Ovis aries: one gene and its partners. The protein of the gene in region 1 interacts with the protein of each later gene in a biochemical or structural test. Links are inferred from orthologs where the notes say so. Each region holds a gene or a part of one and is shown on either strand. Other genes may lie near its edges. The genes, in order: PAFAH1B1, DCX, NDEL1 and NUDC.

Evidence for each region.
Region 2: the proteins of PAFAH1B1 (region 1) and DCX form a complex in vitro, tested with the Homo sapiens proteins (2 studies listed by BioGRID). The link is inferred for Ovis aries from reciprocal best matches to the Homo sapiens genes PAFAH1B1 and DCX.
Region 3: the proteins of PAFAH1B1 (region 1) and NDEL1 form a complex in vitro, tested with the Homo sapiens proteins (3 studies listed by BioGRID). The link is inferred for Ovis aries from reciprocal best matches to the Homo sapiens genes PAFAH1B1 and NDEL1.
Region 4: the proteins of PAFAH1B1 (region 1) and NUDC form a complex in vitro, tested with the Homo sapiens proteins (3 studies listed by BioGRID). The link is inferred for Ovis aries from reciprocal best matches to the Homo sapiens genes PAFAH1B1 and NUDC.

The regions. Positions count from the first base shown.
Region 1 is NC_056064.1:23,448,573-23,453,395, reverse strand, and holds part of PAFAH1B1 (platelet-activating factor acetylhydrolase IB subunit beta), read right to left. Parts: intron 2,572-4,823; coding exon 2,403-2,571; intron 526-2,402; coding exon 423-525; intron 1-422. UniProt on the Homo sapiens protein: Regulatory subunit (beta subunit) of the cytosolic type I platelet-activating factor (PAF) acetylhydrolase (PAF-AH (I)), an enzyme that catalyzes the hydrolyze of the acetyl group at the sn-2 position of PAF and its analogs and participates in PAF inactivation.
Region 2 is NC_056080.1:123,686,532-123,691,354, reverse strand, and holds part of DCX (neuronal migration protein doublecortin), read right to left. Parts: intron 3,434-4,823; coding exon 3,311-3,433; coding exon of another isoform or gene 3,296-3,310; intron 1-3,295. UniProt on the Homo sapiens protein: Microtubule-associated protein required for initial steps of neuronal dispersion and cortex lamination during cerebral cortex development. May act by competing with the putative neuronal protein kinase DCLK1 in binding to a target protein.
Region 3 is NC_056064.1:27,824,121-27,829,404, forward strand, and holds the start of NDEL1 (nuclear distribution protein nudE-like 1), read left to right. Parts: upstream 1-1,748; 5' UTR 1,749-5,284. UniProt on the Homo sapiens protein: Required for organization of the cellular microtubule array and microtubule anchoring at the centrosome. May regulate microtubule organization at least in part by targeting the microtubule severing protein KATNA1 to the centrosome.
Region 4 is NC_056055.1:240,000,339-240,003,861, reverse strand, and holds the end of NUDC (nuclear migration protein nudC), read left to right. Parts: coding exon 1-151; intron 152-1,404; coding exon 1,405-1,488; intron 1,489-1,581; coding exon 1,582-1,700; intron 1,701-2,126; coding exon 2,127-2,178; 3' UTR 2,179-2,403; downstream 2,404-3,523. UniProt on the Homo sapiens protein: Plays a role in neurogenesis and neuronal migration. Necessary for correct formation of mitotic spindles and chromosome separation during mitosis. Necessary for cytokinesis and cell proliferation.

The DNA of each region.
Region 1 (4,823 bases):
ATATTTCTAGCCATGTTGGGGAAAAGGCATGCTCTTACTAATCTGGACAAAACCAGTAGGTTAAGGCTTTATTATAACAGTCATGTAATTCTAAGCACAACCAAATTAAGCCTAATTGGGCATACCTGCAAAAATGTTATTTACATTTTAATTCAACTCAGAGAGATCACCTAAAAGAAGACCACAGAGAAAATAAGCCATTACATAGAAAATGGCTCTCAAGGATATAGAGTTTCTTCCATAATTTCTCTGTTCCTTTTGGGTAGACATTTAAAGATTAAAACTTAAGTTTTAAAATGTAACTGTCATGGTAATCATTCTGGGTTACAACCAAATTTACAAGAACAATCAGAACACAGTTTTGGATTTTTTGTTGAATATTATTTCTTTAAGCTGATGCCTTTTCAACTAAATCTACTTACCCAGTTTGCACTTCCCACATTTTTATAGTTTTATCCCTTGAGGCAGACACTATATGATCTCCATTGGGCATGATGGCTACTGAAGAAACATTGTGGTCATGGCCTAAAACACAAAACACAGTTACTATGTTAAACAATGTATCACCAAGAGCAATTAAACCTTAATTTACCATGAGATTTCATCAGGGATTTCAAGTATCACAGCTACTTTAAATACAAGGGAGTTCATATAAATTTAATAAGAAACTTGGATTTACACAAAAACATAAGGGACTGTTAAGGAATTAGTAACTAATAAAACAATTCACAATGAAATAAGTAGCCAGCTCAATTTACATTTCAACCTGCACAACTATTTTAACAAGTTATTAACTGAAGACCTATTAATGCCATACGGTGTTCATTTCTGCAAATACGTCCCAGCCAATAATGTGTTAAAATCACAGGTAATCGGTACCATCAGCATTTGAATATATTAACACATCGGATGTTTTTGAGCACTAAAAAGCAAAACAAAACAAAAATTTCCATGGTTGCTATTCTAAGATATAAAATAGAAATACGATTTACAGAGATGAATAGAATGGATCAGAAAAATGGGCATTTGGCTCTATGTAGAAACTAGTGGTTGAAAGCTTTTTGTGTTGATGTGCACAGGAGCAAAAAAAATAAAATATATTATTCATAATGCTAGTTAGCTATCCTATGGCAAAAAAGCCCCAGAAAATTCTCTTAAGTATCACATCATTTAAAGGAATATACAATGATTGGAAAGAACTCTTTAAGTCAGAGCAATAAGACACAGGCTACCTAACAAAACAAATACAGATTTTATAAAAGGATTCAATAAAACTCCTTTAACTGGTAAACTTCCCTAATGCACTTAAATTGGGGAGTGGGGGACATATTATTCAAATTACACCATCTATGTAATTGCATAGCTTTCTCAAGTGCTAACATCACTGCATAATGTATTTTAAAACAGTTTATTATTAACACAGTTAATATAAAATCCAAACATCCATATTTTATCATGTTTTAAAAAACAAAAATCCTTATTTAGGAACCACCTCCTATGTACCAGGTACTAAACCAGATGATTCAAGCATACAATCTCATTTTATCCTCACAAGCCTTATGGCTTCAATTCTTAATTCAATATTTAAATTTTATTAACCTTACAGATTAAAGAGGTTAAAATTTCCTAATGCCATAAGTAAACAAGTAGGACTCAGAATCCAGGTATCTGATTTCAAAGCCCACGCTCTTTCCAGAAAGCCAAACTGCTTCAGAAAATAATCTCCAGGACAAGGAGAAGATAACAATGAGACTACAGTGTATGTGGGATATTAAAAAGTGAACAAGGGAACCTGGGTTCCAGCTTTTACTGTATTTACTCTCTAACTTCAGTTTCCCAATTGAGAAAAATGAAAAACAGAAAGAAAAACCACCTCAGTAACTTCATTTTCTCTTTTTCTCAAGAACAGATAGATGCCCTAGCAGTTTTTCTCATCCAAAAATATTTGTGAAAGTAAGTATTTTATAACCACTAAGAGACACTTCCCCAGTGGCTCAGTGGTAAAGAATCCACCTGCCATGCAGAAGACACAGGAGACGCAGATTCAAACTCTGGCTCGGGAAGATCCCCTGGAGAAGGAAATGGCAACCTATTCCAGTATTTTTGCCGGAAAATCCCATGGACAGAGAAGCCTGGTGGGCTCCAGTCCACAGGGTCGCAAAGACTCGGATATAACTAAAGCGACTGAGCACGCAAGCACAAAGAGATTCTTAAACCTCGAAACAAAGAGACAACTCTCAATGACCATGCCTATCCATGGACTGTCTATATCATATGCTCCTACACTGGCACAGTAAGGACCGAATGAAGGGAACCTGCACACTGTAAGAAAACATTATCCTTCTTCTCCCTGCAATACTATGTTAGAGACCAATATCAAAATGCTGTCCTCCACTCCTTACCATGCATTGTTCTGATGCATTCAAAGCCCTGAAAATCCCATAGCTTAATGGTCATATCTGCAGAACATGAAGCCAGAAGCTTGCCACTGTGGTCGAATGAAATATCCTGTACAGAGTCTGTATGCCCCTTAAGAGTTCGTTCAAAATCTCCAGTCTCATAATCCCACACCTGTCAAGTGAACAGAAAATTGGTTAGCATCACATCATTCCTTTCTCAGTTCACATTTGCACTCGACAGGCCAGTCTGGCGCTATAGTGACTAACCGAGCAACTAACAAAGGATAGCTGTCTTAGAATCATCACATCTTCAAGCATAAATTGGTCTTTTCTCTATAGAGAAAAACGATTATTAAATAAACCTCTAAAACCACATTCATTAAGTATCCACCATATATCTAATCATGCTAGTGACTGCCACAGAACAGTCTCGTCTCAGCCTGACATCAGGCAACAGACAAGTTAAAAAGTAAATATAAGTGCCAAAAAAAGAAAAAAAATTCATGAGCCTGACGTGAATTTATATGTAGAATATTAGGGGAATGATGAAGGAATACCCAATTCTACTAGACAAGCAGAGCTCAGACATCTAAGAAGCCAAGGAAAGACTTCACAAGATGTAACTGTCTTTAAATAGCAGATTAACAGAAGCATATGGTCATTTTGATGTAAAAGCACTGAGCCACAGTCGCATTTTTAAAGAAAATAATAAACTCTCAAGAATAATTATTATTATAAACACATCTCAAGAACACACTGAACTTCTGTTCTGGTGGTCAAATGCTAGTCTTAAGTCTGTAACTAACACTAATTACGTACGTGCTCTAAAATCAAATGGCTGATTCCATTCTTACCATAATAAAATATATCTGTGATAGGGTGTATTTCAAACAATTTAAAGAAACTTAGAAAATGCATTTTGAAGTCTAGAAACAATTTAAACATCCAATAGTAGGGAAATTGCCACATAGATATAAGGAATCTATGGCATGTATACAATGTTACATAAAAAAACCCACAAAATTATACAACTATGCAAAAAAATACAAAAATATCCTCTAAAAACATTTCTTTTATGGAAAATTTATGTATGCTCCCCAAAACAAACATATAAAAATTTTACCATTTAAATGTTCAACTACTTCCACACTGAAGTGATTACCGTATGTTTAGCTTTTTTCACAGTTAATGTATTTTTTTTCTTTAATGTATTCTTAACTATACTGGGGGGTTTTTTGATGTTATCATAGCATTTTAGAATTTTAATTTTCAATTATTATAGTTTATAGAAATAATTACTTTTTATATATTGACCTTGTATCTTGGCATTCTGTTTAAATTCAGTCATAGTTCTAGCAAATTTCTGAAGAATCCTTGGGATTTTCTACACAGAAAATCATGTTATCTGTAAGTAACATTTGCAGGTAATAGTTCTTCCTTTCCAATCTGTATGCCTTTTATTTCTTCTCTACTGCATTGGCTAGCCACTCTAATACAAACGTGGATTTAAGTGGTCATTGATCCCTGAACTCGAGGGGGAAGAACTGCTTTCCACCGTTAAGTATTAATATTTTGTCCACTGTGGGTTTACCAGATACCTTTACCTTTTACCAGTCTATGGAAGCTCCCTCCCTAGCTTGTTGAGTTCTTATCATGCTTTTCCTGAAACTATTACGCTTTTTTAACTGATATGGTATATCACACTAATTAATTTTTAAATATCAACCAATCCTGCATTTTGGGATGAACCCTACTTGGTTATGACATACTAATTACTCCTTTTATGAACTGCTGGATTCAATTTGCTTATAATTTGTTAAGGATTTTGCATTTATGTTCATGAATGTTATTGTATCAGTCTATAGGGGTTTTTTTAAATATTATCTTTACCCATTTTGATATCTAATTGTTTCAACACCAAGAGTTCAGGTGAATACATTCTGAACGGTAGGTATGACCTTGAAGTTCACTTCCATTTCAGTTAACTTTGTTTCCTGCATTCATTAAAGAACACTGAAGCATCTTCCTCTAAACTATTAATAAATATACCCAGAACCGTGTCTCTTCATAAATGGTAAGCAAACATGGTAATGTAATGTTTATAAATGTTAGGAATTAAAGATAATCAATTTTTTCTCTACTGGGTATTTACCTTTTGTATGATTATAAAATAAATGCTCATGATTAAAAAATCTATAATGTACTGATATAAAGGCAATAAAAATATTCACTATCCTACCAATGGCATGATTTTTCCATTTTTTCTATGCTCTTTTTTAAAAAAAGTACAGTACCTGTGTATACATCATTAACCTGTTTTTCCCTCTGTGTCTTATCATAAGAATTTTTCCATGCCATTAAAAAGTTACTAGCAAGCATTCTTTTAGAAGTAATTCCTATTATTTTCTAAACAAAACGCAATGT
Region 2 (4,823 bases), on another chromosome or scaffold:
AGTTGGGTTTTCCTAGAGGGATGTCTCTCTTTCCTCTTCCATATCCTATCCCCCTACGCCTCCCAGCTCAGAATAGTCCTGAGTGAGGAGGAGCTGGAAAAGGGAAAATGGGTATGTCAACTCCAAACTTTACCTAAAGTACTGGTTTGCCTGAGATTGGCTTTATCCCTGTGGAATGTTCACTGAGCGAATGTCCTACTCTTGACCCTAAACTCCCTTTTACCTTTGTGGGCTGAAATCATGTGAAGGCCCTAAACACATCATCTAAGATGAGTGCAAATGTTCTGAAAATTGCCAGAACATGAAGGCTGGCTAGATTAGAGTTTGACTTCACTTATGTTCATGAACTATCTGAAATGAAGATTTAAATAGTCTCTACTGAGGATACCACTTTAGGTGTTTTTGTTTGTTTGTTTGTTTGTTTTTTACTGGTAAGAAACAAGGGCTGTTAATAATTCTGATACCAAGTAAGGTCCCATTTTTCCTACCTCAAATTGGTTACTTTGTTTATCTTGTATGTGTGAGTGCATCCTCATTCCTTCTCTTTAGCAAGGGACTTTTGAAAGAAAGAGTTCAAGACCTAAAAATAGGTCTTGCCTGTTTAAGCCTAGGTTGGGATCTATTAAAACTCAATTTAATACATGCTCATTGAGTCCTAAATGCATTCCTTCTCTGTCTCCAACACATTATACTCAGTGAGGCGCATCTATTTTAGAAGGGAAATTCTGTAGGTAGCATGTTGGAGATCAATTATTTGACGTATGTATAAACTGTGTTTAATTACAGGTAGTCGTATTCATGTGTGCTGGGTAACCCAATTGGATAGTCTGCAAAGAGAATCTACTTACTTCAAACTTTTGCCACCCCAGCCTTTCTAGCTAATGGATTATGTGATGGCTTAAGAACAGGCCCACAAATTCTCAGATATCTTTCCCTTCCAGAAATGGAGGCTGCAACCCCTTCCTTGAATGTGGGCTGATCTTAGTCACTGCTTCCCAAAAAAAGGCTAAAACAGAAGTGACAGTATATGGCTTTGGAGAACAGATCATAAAAGGAACCACATCTTCTTTCTTCTTCATTCTCTTGAATCACTGTCTGGAAGAAGATCCTGCCAGTGGCCATCTTGGAAGTTAATTCTACCATCCCAGTTGTGTCTTCAAATGACTGCATCCCCTGACACCTTGACCTCAACCACATGACAACTACATGAAAGATCCTGAACCACCCGGCTAAACCACCCCAGAATTCCTGACTCACCAAAAACGTGAGATAATAAATGTTTGTTAGTATGTTTTAGGGTGATTTGTTTTATAGCAAGAAATAAGTAATACAGGTTAAAAATCCCAGAAATAGCCAGTGATACTCTGAAAAATTGATTAGCTAAGTGATTATTGCCAGGTTTTATGAATATTTTTATTCATGTATGTATTTGGCTATACTGCACGGCATGTGGGATCTTAGTTTCCTGACCAGGGATTGAACCAGTGCCCCCTGCAGTGGAAGGGCAGAGTCTTAACCACTTGGCCACCAAGGAAGTCCCCAGACTTCATGAATCTTGATCAAGTGTTTCAAGTACATTTTTTTGCAAGGCCCTGCTTCGAACCTTTACAAACAATTTCATTCTCAATCCAAGTGTTAAAATCTAAGTCTTTGTAGTTTGAGCAATATGAATTTGCTTACATAGTTTCATGTGCTATTATGTTTAACCAAAATATCACAAAACAGCTGTATTTTTAAAAGTTCCTTCAGCAAGTATTACCTACAGGTCTACTGGGTTTCTAGCACTGTGCAGGGTGAAATAGGTGCTCTTGTGCTTTACAAACACTGTTAACATCTACTAGGACAAAGGTACTGTGCTCAGCACTAAGAATACAAAAATGAACGTGACACCTTGCCCTTGAGGGACCCAGGATTTGGTTGAGGAAGTAAATACATACAAGCAAATACATACTTTACAACACAGCTGTGACTATTACCCCAGAGATATGAACAACATGCTATGATATTGTGGAAAATGGAACAACTATTTCTACTTGAGGTATTGAAGGATTAATAGTTTTCAAGCAAAGAAGAGTGGTGGGTTTGAGGGATGGCATTCCAGGTGCAGGAGAACAGGGTATGCAAAGACATGAAGGTATGAAAAGCCTGAGTTGCCTCTTCACAGTTGGGTTCCTTCTTCCTGAGAATAAAGAGATGCCCAGTGATAGGCATGGTAAGATGAGGCCAGCAGGACCAGCTGTTTTTCTAGGCCACGGACATTTCAAAGCCAAGAGAGGTTGCTCAAGCTGCCTCAAATCGAAGATGTGATAAGGAGTGCTTTTGTTCTCTGCCCCAAGGCTCTCTGGCTAGAAGAATTCTCATGGTGTACCCTGAGCTTTGGGAGGATAAATGTGTAAGTCTTCCGGATCATAGAATTTGTTATACATGAAGAATTCAAATTGTCAGTGCATGAGTCTACTGAGCTTCTACACTTGGACTTCTGTGGCCCTTTTGCTTTTTAGATCAGTGCCACTTAAAATGTGGGTGCAAGGCCTTGCACCAGAATGTAAACCAACACACTGCTGCCTTTATCAGTAAAATCATACTATGAAAAAAGAGCTGGCTGAAGTAAATGGTTTGCTCAGTGGCATGATTTACATTTGGCACCAGCTCCAGTCTCTTCACAGACTGATAAATAGTTCATGCGTCAGCAGTGATCCCTAGACCCCTAGATCACATTTTTTACATCATGAACTATCCACTAAATAAAATCCTATATATCAAGTCTCTTTATTTCCTTTGGGAACCTGACCTATATGTCCTTTACTCCTGTGAGAATGATGCAGTTTATTTTGTTTCCCTTTTTGTTTTGACTTCTAAAAAATTCAAAGTTACATTTAAAGCTCAAGGGCATCTACCATGTTGACACTTTGAGGTAAGTAGCTCTTTTTTTTTAACCTTCTTGTTTTTGATTCTGATTTTCTATTCCAAATTTATGTTTGACTTGATTATATCACTGACGATGCATTTGCTGGATGACGTTGAGAATAATGGCAATGAAGAGAACCATAACAAACAGCATTACAGCAAGCATGGAAAGTGGGCCAGATTTCTGGTCTGTACCCATCTGAGTAGAATCGGGGTTGTAGCTGTATCTCCATGAGGCCAAACAAATTGAACTGGTTAGTCTCTGAATGGATAGGATTGGTCTCACGGAGACACAGTGGTGTTCATGAGGAACTCATTCCTCTGCATGCAGAGGGTACTGCCCTCCATAAATGAAGTCAGCGTGCACAGTTAGGAGAAGAGCACTCACCGTCTTGGTCGTTACCTGAGTCAGCTGGAGACTTGCTCCGGCGCGTGGGGCCAGGGCTCTTAGCTGAACTCTTCTGAGGTGTTGGGGATGCCTTAGGGCCAGCTGTGGCTGATGGGTTTCCCTTCATGACTCGGCATTCTGGTGGAAAAGGACACAGATGGCTTAGTAGAGCTGGGGAGAATCAAGACTCAGCATATTACCAACTTCTGGAAACTGGAATAAGCACCTCATGCCAAAGCACTTCATGTCTCAGGACTACAAGGTGGTCCTCAATGTTTGAAGGAATGATGGCTCTGGAGAGAGAGGCAAGGGAGAAACTTTCAAAGGCACCTGGGCTAAGCCAGATGTTTCAACTCCTGGATCATGGAAACAAGGGCAGGAGTTGAAAAGTAGTCCGAGCAGGTAATTAAATAGTCAATGGTCAATCATTTTTGGACAACTTAGTCATGGCTCAGAACAGCACCTGTTGACAAAATTGATTTCCTTGGAGAAGAGATTGACAGCTCAGAGGTTGCAGCCACACAGATGAAATATTCATGAATAATTTAAAGGAGGGGGTAGGCGCCACTATTTATTATTCATCACGTCATTTATTGCAATAGGCATATTAAGGACGCCATGTCATTTTATAAGTAAGCAATACTACCACCACCACCACCACCTTGCATTTATAGAGTTCTTTATGATTGTCAGTCTATCTCATCATAATCCGTTCTCCTGGTTTAATGAATAAATGGACCAGTAGAGACTATGCCACTCATGACTTACAGAGAGAAAAAGGCCTTGGGTGTGTAGGAGAGTCTGCCAAATGTTTCTGCTACTCCCCCAAGCTCAGTCTGACATGTTTGGAGTACCCTTTCTATGCAGGTCACTCAGCATCCCTACCATGGTAATTTGGGACACTGATGGTGCTAGTATGTTAGGAGGATTATTATAATCATTTTGCTGATGAGAATGCAAAGAGCTTAAATCTCTTGCTTAGAGCCACAAAGGAAGAAAACAGCAAATAAGGATGCACAGTCAAGCTTCTTGAGTCCCAGTCTAGAGCTCTTTCCACTATCTTTCTCCAACCTCATGTGATCATGCTCAAAGTGGAACCAAACAGCTAGGCACTGGGTTATCTCTTCATTGGACACCACCTCATCACCTTCTACTTAAAGACACACCAAAAATATTGGTTCTCTGAAAGATTAGGAGATCTTTTCTGGCATATTAAGCTTTGGTGGAAACTGAATTAAGCAGAAAGCTCATTTTTGTTTTTTGTTTTTTTACTTCTTGTTTTGATTGACAAACTTTAGTGATCACTGTCCAGAGCTGGAGATATACAAGATACAAGAAACTGGACAGTCTGGGATTTGTTTACCTATTATATGGTCATCTGCCTCTTCTCAAAGGGAACACAGCAGAAATGCCACCTCTTTCAGGGTCCTTGTCACTTGAGCTGTTTGTAAAGTCTGTATTAGTGCAACTTGATATTTTCCCCATACTTTTCTCCTCATGATTGGGAAATACGTTTTGAATGTGTTTT
Region 3 (5,284 bases), about 4.4 Mb from region 1:
CCACAGGTGAGTCCTTTTACCATCAGCTGAAATCCTGCATAAGCCTCCTGTAGGCTGGAGACACGGAGAAGGCGATGGCACCCCACTCCAGTACTCTTGCCTGGAAAATCCCATGGGCGGAGGAGCCTGGTAGGCTGCAGTCCATGGGGTTGCGAAGAGTTGGACACCACTGAGCGACTTCACTTTCACTTTTCACTTTCATGCATTGGAGAAGGAAATGGCAACCCACTCCAGTTGTTCTTGCTTGGAGAATCCCAGGGACGGGGGAGCCTGGTGGGCTGCCGTCTATGGGGTTGCACAGAGTCGGACACGACTGAAGTGACTTAGCAGCAGCAGCAGCAGCCCCAGGCTGGAGACAACATGATCCTGAGCTGCCCTGAGGTCAGTCTGAAACCTTCATAGCATCTTAAAAGTCCATGAACATTTATGGACTAACTTCCAGTGCTCTGGTAGATGCTCCTGGGAAAACAGAGACAAATCCATGCAGCCCTTACCCTCCCTGGGTGACCTTGGGGAGATAGACAGCTCCATGGGAAGGAATTATCGGTGAAGGGCCTCAGTCGTAGTTCTTAACCGTGGTGCTTCTCCGACATGGTGGGACCCAGTGACACATTTGACCTGCAGCCACTGTGGAGGCGAGAAGTGACTCCAGACCAGGGTGGCATGACCTGCCAAAGACTTAAGGAGTGGGTCAGATTTGGAGAGGCAGAAAGGAGGGGGGATGCCACCAACCACTGAAGGGAATAATGGGATGTATGTGAAGCCAATTACACACATTATCTCATTTAAGCCCAAACAATGCCATGAGGTCAGTACTGGTGTCACCTCCATTTCATTTTGCAAAGATGAGACACAGAGACACACAGCAACTCATTCAAGGTCTTGCCACCAAAAGTGGTAGGCGGAGGCTACTTCCCTCTGACTTCCCATTTTTTCTCTGAAGCCACAGGTGTGCTTTGCCAGGTTCTGGGCATCTCCTGTGTGCTCAGTTTCACAGACGTGTCTGACTCTTTTGCGATCCCATGGACTGTACCCCACCATGCTCCTCTGTTCATGGAATTTTCCAGGCAAGAATATATGGGTTGCCATACCCTCCTCCAAGGGATTGTCCCAACTCAGGGATTGAACCTGAGTCTCCTGTGTCTTCTGCACTGCAGGTGGATTCTTTACTGAGTGAGCCACTGGGGAAGCCCTACCTTTTATTTATTATTTTTGGCTACACTAGGTCTTTGTTGTGGCACATGGGCTTTCTCTAGCTGTGAGCAGGGGGTTACTCTCTTGTGGTCCATGCGCTTCTCTTTGCAGTGGCTTCTCTTGTTATGGAGCAAGGGCTCTAGGGCGCTAGTGCTTCAGCTCAGTAGTTGTGGAGCATGGGCTTAGTTGCTCTGGGGCATGTGGGATCTTGGTTTGCAGACCAGGGATCGAACCTAGGTTGGCAGGTGGATTCTTACCACTGAATCAACAGGGATCCTGCATCTCCTACCCTTAATGTGGGAAAGCTCTCCTCCTTGCTTTTCCCCTCTAATACAGGGCTGGAGACAGACAAAGGGGAAGCTTGAAGTTCTGGCTAAAGAGTTAGGGATTGAGTTTCTTTTTCTCCTTCCTCAACCCTGAAGTCTTGCTCAATAGCAGCTGAGCAGTGGGGCTGCAAGGTTGCTTCACTTCTAGAAGGCCGGCCGCAGCCTTCCTGGCCCAAACCCACTTCCGGTCTTCGTGCCTCTTTTGTCACAAGGTGATTCTCACACTTCCTGTTGATTTCCACTTTGTTTCAGCTGCTTCAGCTCCAGCCACTTTGTGCTGCTGTTGATCTGATCTGCGAGGCCTGGGACACAGGACCAGGTATGTTGGGATGGTGGGGACTGGGGGGTCAGCTTGGATAAGGTCTGGGCCAGATCAGGGCCAGAGTGGGGGGCTCCTGGTAGACCCTTTCTGTCCATTGTGGGGGACTGTCAGAGGCTGGGGTCAGTTTGTGAAGTTGGTTATGTCCCTGTGAGGGATGGTACCAGGGGTGGCTTCCTGAAACCAGATCATTTGACCTCTACCCCCCTAAAATCTCATCACCTTGATTTGGTTGTGTGTTACGTGAGCTGCCCAGGTAACATTTTTCTAGGCTGTAGAGCGAGCTTCATCTCTGGGAGATGGCTTCTCTGGGATTGACTTCGACACAGCTGGTGTGATGCTTGAAAGTTTGCTGAGCTGACCGAGTTGGGGCTTGTGATTAAGTCCTGGCTCCTTGTCTTACTGACGGGCAATTCACTGTCTTCTGAACCTTTCTGGTCTACACAGTTCAAAAATGTCTCTGTTTTTTGGGATGTTGGTGATGCTTAAGCAGGATGATGATTGTGAAAGTGTTTTGTAAACTGTAAGACGGCATTCTCAGGGTGTGAGGTTACTTTCATTTTCTAAATGGAACTAGATACCTTTTTTTCCTGATTGTGGTAACTGGTGAAAATATAAACAAAGAGAAAGGGAAAATTTTTACATAATTCCAGCCCCAGAGATTATTAGTGACACTGGTATATAAAGTTCTACTTAAAAAATTGAATTTTTAAAAAATTTGATAAAATATACTGATTCAACGGATACGAACATGGGCAAACTCTGGGAGATGGTAAGGGACAGGAAGTCTGGTGTGCTGCAGTCCATGGGGTCACAAAGAGTTGGACACAACTGAGTGACTGAACAAGAACAACAAAATATACATGAAATAAAAATTAGTTTTTAAGCATACAGCTTAGTGGCATTAAGTACATTCCCATTGACATGCACCCATCACCAAGATCCATCTCCAGATTTTTTTTCTTCTCCAAGTGAAACTGTGTACCCATTAAACAGTATCTCCCTAGTCTTCCCCACCCGTCTCTGGCAACTACCACTCTACTCTCTCTTGAATGGAACCATACAGTATTTGTCCTCTGATGGCTGGCTTATTTCACATAGTGTAATGTCTTCAAGGTTCATGCATGTTGTAGCAGGTGTCAAAATTGCCTTCCTTTTTTAAAGTGAAAGTGAAGTCGCTCAGTCGTGTCTGACTCTTTGCGACCCCATGGACTATATCCTACTATATCCTATCAGGCTCCTCTGTCCATGGAATTTTCCAGGCAAGAGTACTGGAGTGGGTTGCCATTTCCTTCTCCAGGGCATCTTCCTGACGCAGGGATTGAACCCGGGTCTCCCACACTGCAAGCAGACACTTTACCCTCTGAGCTGAAAAATATTGCATTGTCTATAGACACCACATTTTGTTTATATCATCTGCTGATGGACAGGATTGCTTCCACCTTTTGGTTATTGTAAATAATGCTGCTGTGAATACGAGTGTGCAGATGGCTACTTGAGTCCTTGCTTTTAATTCTTTTTCGTATTCACAAATGGATTTGCTGAATCATATGGTAATTCTGTGTTTACTTTTTTGAGGAACTTTCAGAATGTTTTCCATAGTGGCTGTACCATTTTGGATTCCTACCAGCAATGTACAAGGGTTCCAATCTCTCTACATCCTTACCAACACTTATTTTCTGGTGGTGGTTTTTTTCTTCCTCCCAGGGGGTGTGGTATCTCGTTGTAGTTTTGATTTGTGTTTCCCTGATGATTAGTGATGTAGAGCTCCTTTTCATGTACTTGTTAGCCATCTGTATACTTCTCTGGAGAAATACCTGTTCAAGTTCTTGGCCCATTTTTAAATCGAGTTGTTTGGTATTTTTGTTATTGAGTTGTAGTAGTGGTAGTTGTAGTAGTTCTTTATATATTTTGGAAATTAACTAGACTTCTAAAACAATATTTCTTGTGTCAAACTGTATTTACTGTTCTCTAACCATTTTTAAACTTGTTTATTTATTGGCTGTGCTGGGTCTTTGCTGCCTGTGGGCTTTTCTTTAGTTTCGGGAAGTGGGGGCTACTCTTCTTTGTGGTGCTTGGGATTCTCATTGCAGTGGCTTCTCTTGTTGCAGAGCATGGGCTGTAGGGCATATGGGCTTCAGCAGTTGTGGTGCGCGGGTTCAATAGTTAGTGGTTACCCGGCTCTAGAGCTTAGGCTCAATATTTGTTGCGGGCAGACTTAGTTGCTCTGCAGCATGTGAGATCTTTCCGGATCAGGGATTCAACCTGCGTCTCCTACACTGGCAGGCAGATTCTTTACCACTGAGCCACCAGAGAAGCCCTCTTTTTTTCACTTAGTATCACTTGAGTATCATCTCATGTTAATTTATAAAATCTTCCTTGTCCTTCCTAACAGCTGTGTAGTATTCCAGTGCTTGGATTATACTATGATTTATTAAATGAGTCTCCTGGGTGTTTAGGTTGTTTCCAGTTTTGGGCATAATGATAAAACAATGCTGCAGTAAACATCACTGAACATACGTCTTTGCATATTACTTCTATAATTTCCTTAGGATAAATCCTTAATAAGTTGAGTGCTGGGTAAAAGGTTATACATATATTCACAGTTTTAATTCATTTGTCCAGATTCCTCTAATAAATGTCATACCATTTGTTTTAAATTTCATATCCACTTTTATTAAGGCAATTACAAAGATTACATTGAAGAATAGCAATTCCTTGCCTCATCTCCCCTCTTCCCAGTTCTCCCTACCACACACATTTCCAACTATTTTAGTTGTTTCTATTTCTAAATAAAGTGCCTTTATGACTAGTTTTTTCTGTTTTAGTTATCATCTATTGACTTTGTATTATGAAAAGTAAGGACACAGCACTCTTACCTAATACATTATTGCTCCCCCATCTTCCTGATATGGTTAATCACATATTTGGTGAAATTAACATTCATATAATATCCTTATTTCTCTAAAGATATTTATTAACGTTCTTTCTCTTTCCAGCTTACTTCTGCTCCCAGTATTATATTCATTACTCCTAAATTTCTTTTGTGTTATTTTGCTATTTCACATTGGAGAGTGTTTGGTGGTTCCTAGTTGAATGTTTATTTTTATGACCAGGGAACTCAAAGCTGATTGGAGGCTGTGTATGTATGTGTATGGCAGGAGTTGGGAGCTTGTTGACTGTTGGACCTGTGTGTGTGTGTGTGTGTGTGTGTGTGTGTGTGTATGGGGGGAGTTGGGAGCTTGTTGACTGTTGGACCTCTCTGAGTGATCAAGTGGACAGGCCAGGTCATGTGGTTCTGTTGAGGAAAATTCTTTGATCTCGTGCCTGGAGGGCAGGCTGCCGCATTCTTGGAGGGTCAGTAGGGGAAGGAAGCTGCCTTCTCATCATTTGATACACAGCCTTTGAAGAATCCCCCCTCCCTCTATCCACTTCCTTTTGTAGT
Region 4 (3,523 bases), on another chromosome or scaffold:
CGTGGTGGTGGACATCCAGCGGCGGCATCTCCGGGTGGGGCTCAAGGGACAGCCAGCGATCGTGGACGGGGAGCTCTACAACGAGGTGAAGGTGGAGGAGAGCTCGTGGCTCATCGAGGACGGCAAGGTGGTGACGGTGCATCTGGAGAAGGTGCGAAAGGCCCCGCCCTCTGTCCTGATTGGCTGTTTCTGAACTTGGGGGCCCTGCTGGGGGCCTGATGGGCATATCTTATTTCATCCCCACAATAAGACTTTGATAGTAGGTCTGCCACATTTTAGAATCAGAAAAAGGGCAGCCCAAGAGATCTGCCCAACTTCTGCCTCTAGAAGAGGGTGGAGTTAAAGATCCGGGTTGTCTTTAGTACCAAAGCCTTTTCCTTTCCCTTAGGTTTTTGTTGTTGTTCTACCAGCTTATTCGTACCAGCCCATCTCCCTCCACCCTCATGCATGCATGCTCAGTCATGTAACCCCATGGACTGCAGCCCGCCAGGTTCCTCTGTCCATGGACTTTTCCAGGCAAGAATACGGGGGTGGGTTGCCATTTCCTTCTCCAGGTCCATTAGGTTTTTTTCTGGTTTTTATTTTGGGTCTGAATTTTTATTATGGGTCTTAGTTGCCATGTGCGGGATCTTCCTTGTGGCATGTGGGATCTTTAGTTGCAGCACATTGGACCTAGTTCCCTGACTAGGGATCGAACCTGGGCCCCCTGCCTTGGGAGTTCAGAGTCTTAACCACTGGACCCACCAGGGAAGTCCCTCCATTAGGTTTGTATCAATACAAGCATTCAGTTCAGCAAATACTTGAACACCTACTCATGCCAGAGACTGTTCTAAGTGCTGGAGGGAAAACAGTGAACCAGACGTAGAAAGCTATGCCCCTCTGGAAGCCCGCGTTCTCCCCTCTCAGAGAACTGGGATGCAGACCCCAGTAAGTGAACATGGGCTCTGTGAAGCGCCAGGGTCCAAGGAAAGAGTCCCATGGCATGTACTGCCTGGCCCAGCCTACCTGACCCCCTTGGCTGCCTCTCACTCACCCCTCTGTGCCCTTGCCCTTGCATTTCCTCCCACCTGGAATGTCCTTCCCTGCTTTTTAACGTGGTTCACGCGTGTCGTTTAAGGCCCAGCCCTGTGTGTCATCCGAACCTCTCCCTCCACCTGATGAGTATCTCCCTCTGTACTTTATTCTTTCCGTTATCATGCTGACTGTCTCCGTGTCTGTCTCCCCCAGCCACCGGGGAGGGCAGAGGTCTTGCCTCTCTGCCCCTAGGTCCCAGTTCAGGCCTTGTAAGTCCCTGATGCAGGATGTGGCTGGGAGAGAGTTTGGTTCTGGAAGAGCTGGGGGGTGGTCACCAGGGTCCAGAGTGAGCCACCACCCGTCCCCGGGTGGCCCTCCTCTTCCTCTCAGATTAACAAGATGGAGTGGTGGAGCCGCTTGGTATCCAGTGACCCCGAGATCAATACTAAGAAGATAAACCCCGAGAACTCCAAGGTGAGCCCAGGCTGCTTGGAGGAGCTGCGGTCGGGAGGTTTGGGGCCTGGGTGGCCCCAGGCCTTCACCCACCCTGTCACTGTCTGCCCCCAGCTGTCAGACCTGGACAGTGAGACCCGTAGCATGGTGGAGAAGATGATGTACGACCAGAGACAGAAGTCTATGGGGCTGCCTACCTCCGATGAGCAGAAGAAACAGGAGATTCTGAAGAAGTGAGCGATGCAGAGATGGGGGTTTGGGGGAGGTGTCTACGGCTGGGACCTGGGTGACAGTGGCAAGTGTTTACTGAGCAGAACACAGGAGCTGCCCCGCCCCTTCCAGGATGAGCCAGCCAAGTTTATGGCTTTATAGCCTTGGCTTGCCTCCCCTAATCACTTACTGAGGTCATCTTGAGGGCAAGGCCACCACAGGATAGGAAAGGGTAACAGGCGGTCACAGTTTCCAACAGAAAAAGCAGTGCCGGTGTTGGCACCTCAGCATCCAGCCTTGGGGAGACCTTGGGGGCCCCACTCCTGTCTGGCATGGCTCCGGGTTGCTGAGAGCTGTAAACAGATGAGACCTCATGTTGGAGGCTGAGAGAAAGGGACAAATTTAGGGAGACGGATGGCCTGTCTCACCTTCCTGCTTTGTCTCTGCAGGTTCATGGATCAGCATCCAGAGATGGACTTTTCCAAGGCCAGATTCAACTAGCCCCTGTGTTTGCTCCCCTGAACTCTCTAGGCTGAGCTCCCGGCTCCCCACTTTCCTCTCCCACCCTCCCTGGGACTGGTGGGCCACAGGGCCAGGGCAGGCACGGGGCTGGCTGGCACACACAGGTCCCAGGCCATCATGGGAGAAGGGCTGGGGCCTTGGGGGGGGGTCTTGTCCTCCTCAGCTGGCCTGCTGTTACACATTAAAACCATTTACCCAATTCCACTCACGTCTTCTCTTCCCTCTGGCCTTTCTCTGGGGTTCAGGCCTCTTAGGACTGCTGCTGTGACCTGGGGGCTTGACTGCTCACCCAGGCTCTGCTGTGTGATCTAGGGCAAGTCTTTGCCTCTCCCTGGGCTCAGTTTCTCATTACTTAAATAGAGGATCCCGACAAGGCTTTTAGTCTGTGTATGATTTTGAACAAAAGGGGTTGGTTATAGGCACCAAACAATGTCAGATTCTCCAAGGGGCCCATGACTCAGCAGCACTTAAGACCAGCCTGACTTGATTTCCATTTTCATCTCTGAGACAATTTCCCACTGCACTGGGTCTGTCCTTTAGTCCTGGAGCAAGTGTTTCTAAAACTATACACTACTTCCCAGAGGCAGAGAGCAAGCAGCAAAGCCTAGGGGCACCGCCTAGGCCTCAGATGGGCTTTGTGTGTGGTGGGGATCTGGCTGGGAAGGCAGGGGGAAGCCCAAAGGAGCCTGTTGTGTGTCTTTGACCTGGACCCTTGCAGATTTTAGGGCTTCTCAGGAGTGAGCCACTGAGGCTGGAGAGGTGTTCTCTTTTGCCCCAGTCCAGCCACCAGAGCTGACCCTTGCCCCGCTTTGGCAGGAAGTACAGGTCACAGTGCAGAGTGCCATAGAGGTTATGGTAACAAGACGAATGGGTTCACTTGCCCAGGGTGCTATGCCCTATGAGCCACGGGTGACTCCTGAATTTCTGGGACACAGCGTATGTGTCCTTTTGGCATCTCAGAATAGCTTGTTAAAGACTTCAGCTATGCAGTATTTGGCTTTGTCTGTTTATCAAACTTACCCCTTTTTCTGGGAATGCCAGTAGTGGTTCCCAAGGCTGAGCTTAGATAATGGGGCTCAAAAAAACTTTGGCCCCAGAGGCCCATTTTCTAAGCTCTCAGATTGCTTCTTGGCAGGAAAGCTGTGACAAACCTAGACAGTGTATTAAGGAGCAGAGGCATCGCTTTGCTGACAAAGGTCTGTATACTCAAGGCCACGTTCTTTCCAGTAGTCATGTATGGATGTGAGAGGGGCACCATAACAAAGGCAGAGAACCAAACTTAGGTGCTGGAAACAACCCTTGAGAGGTCCCTTGGAAAGCAAGG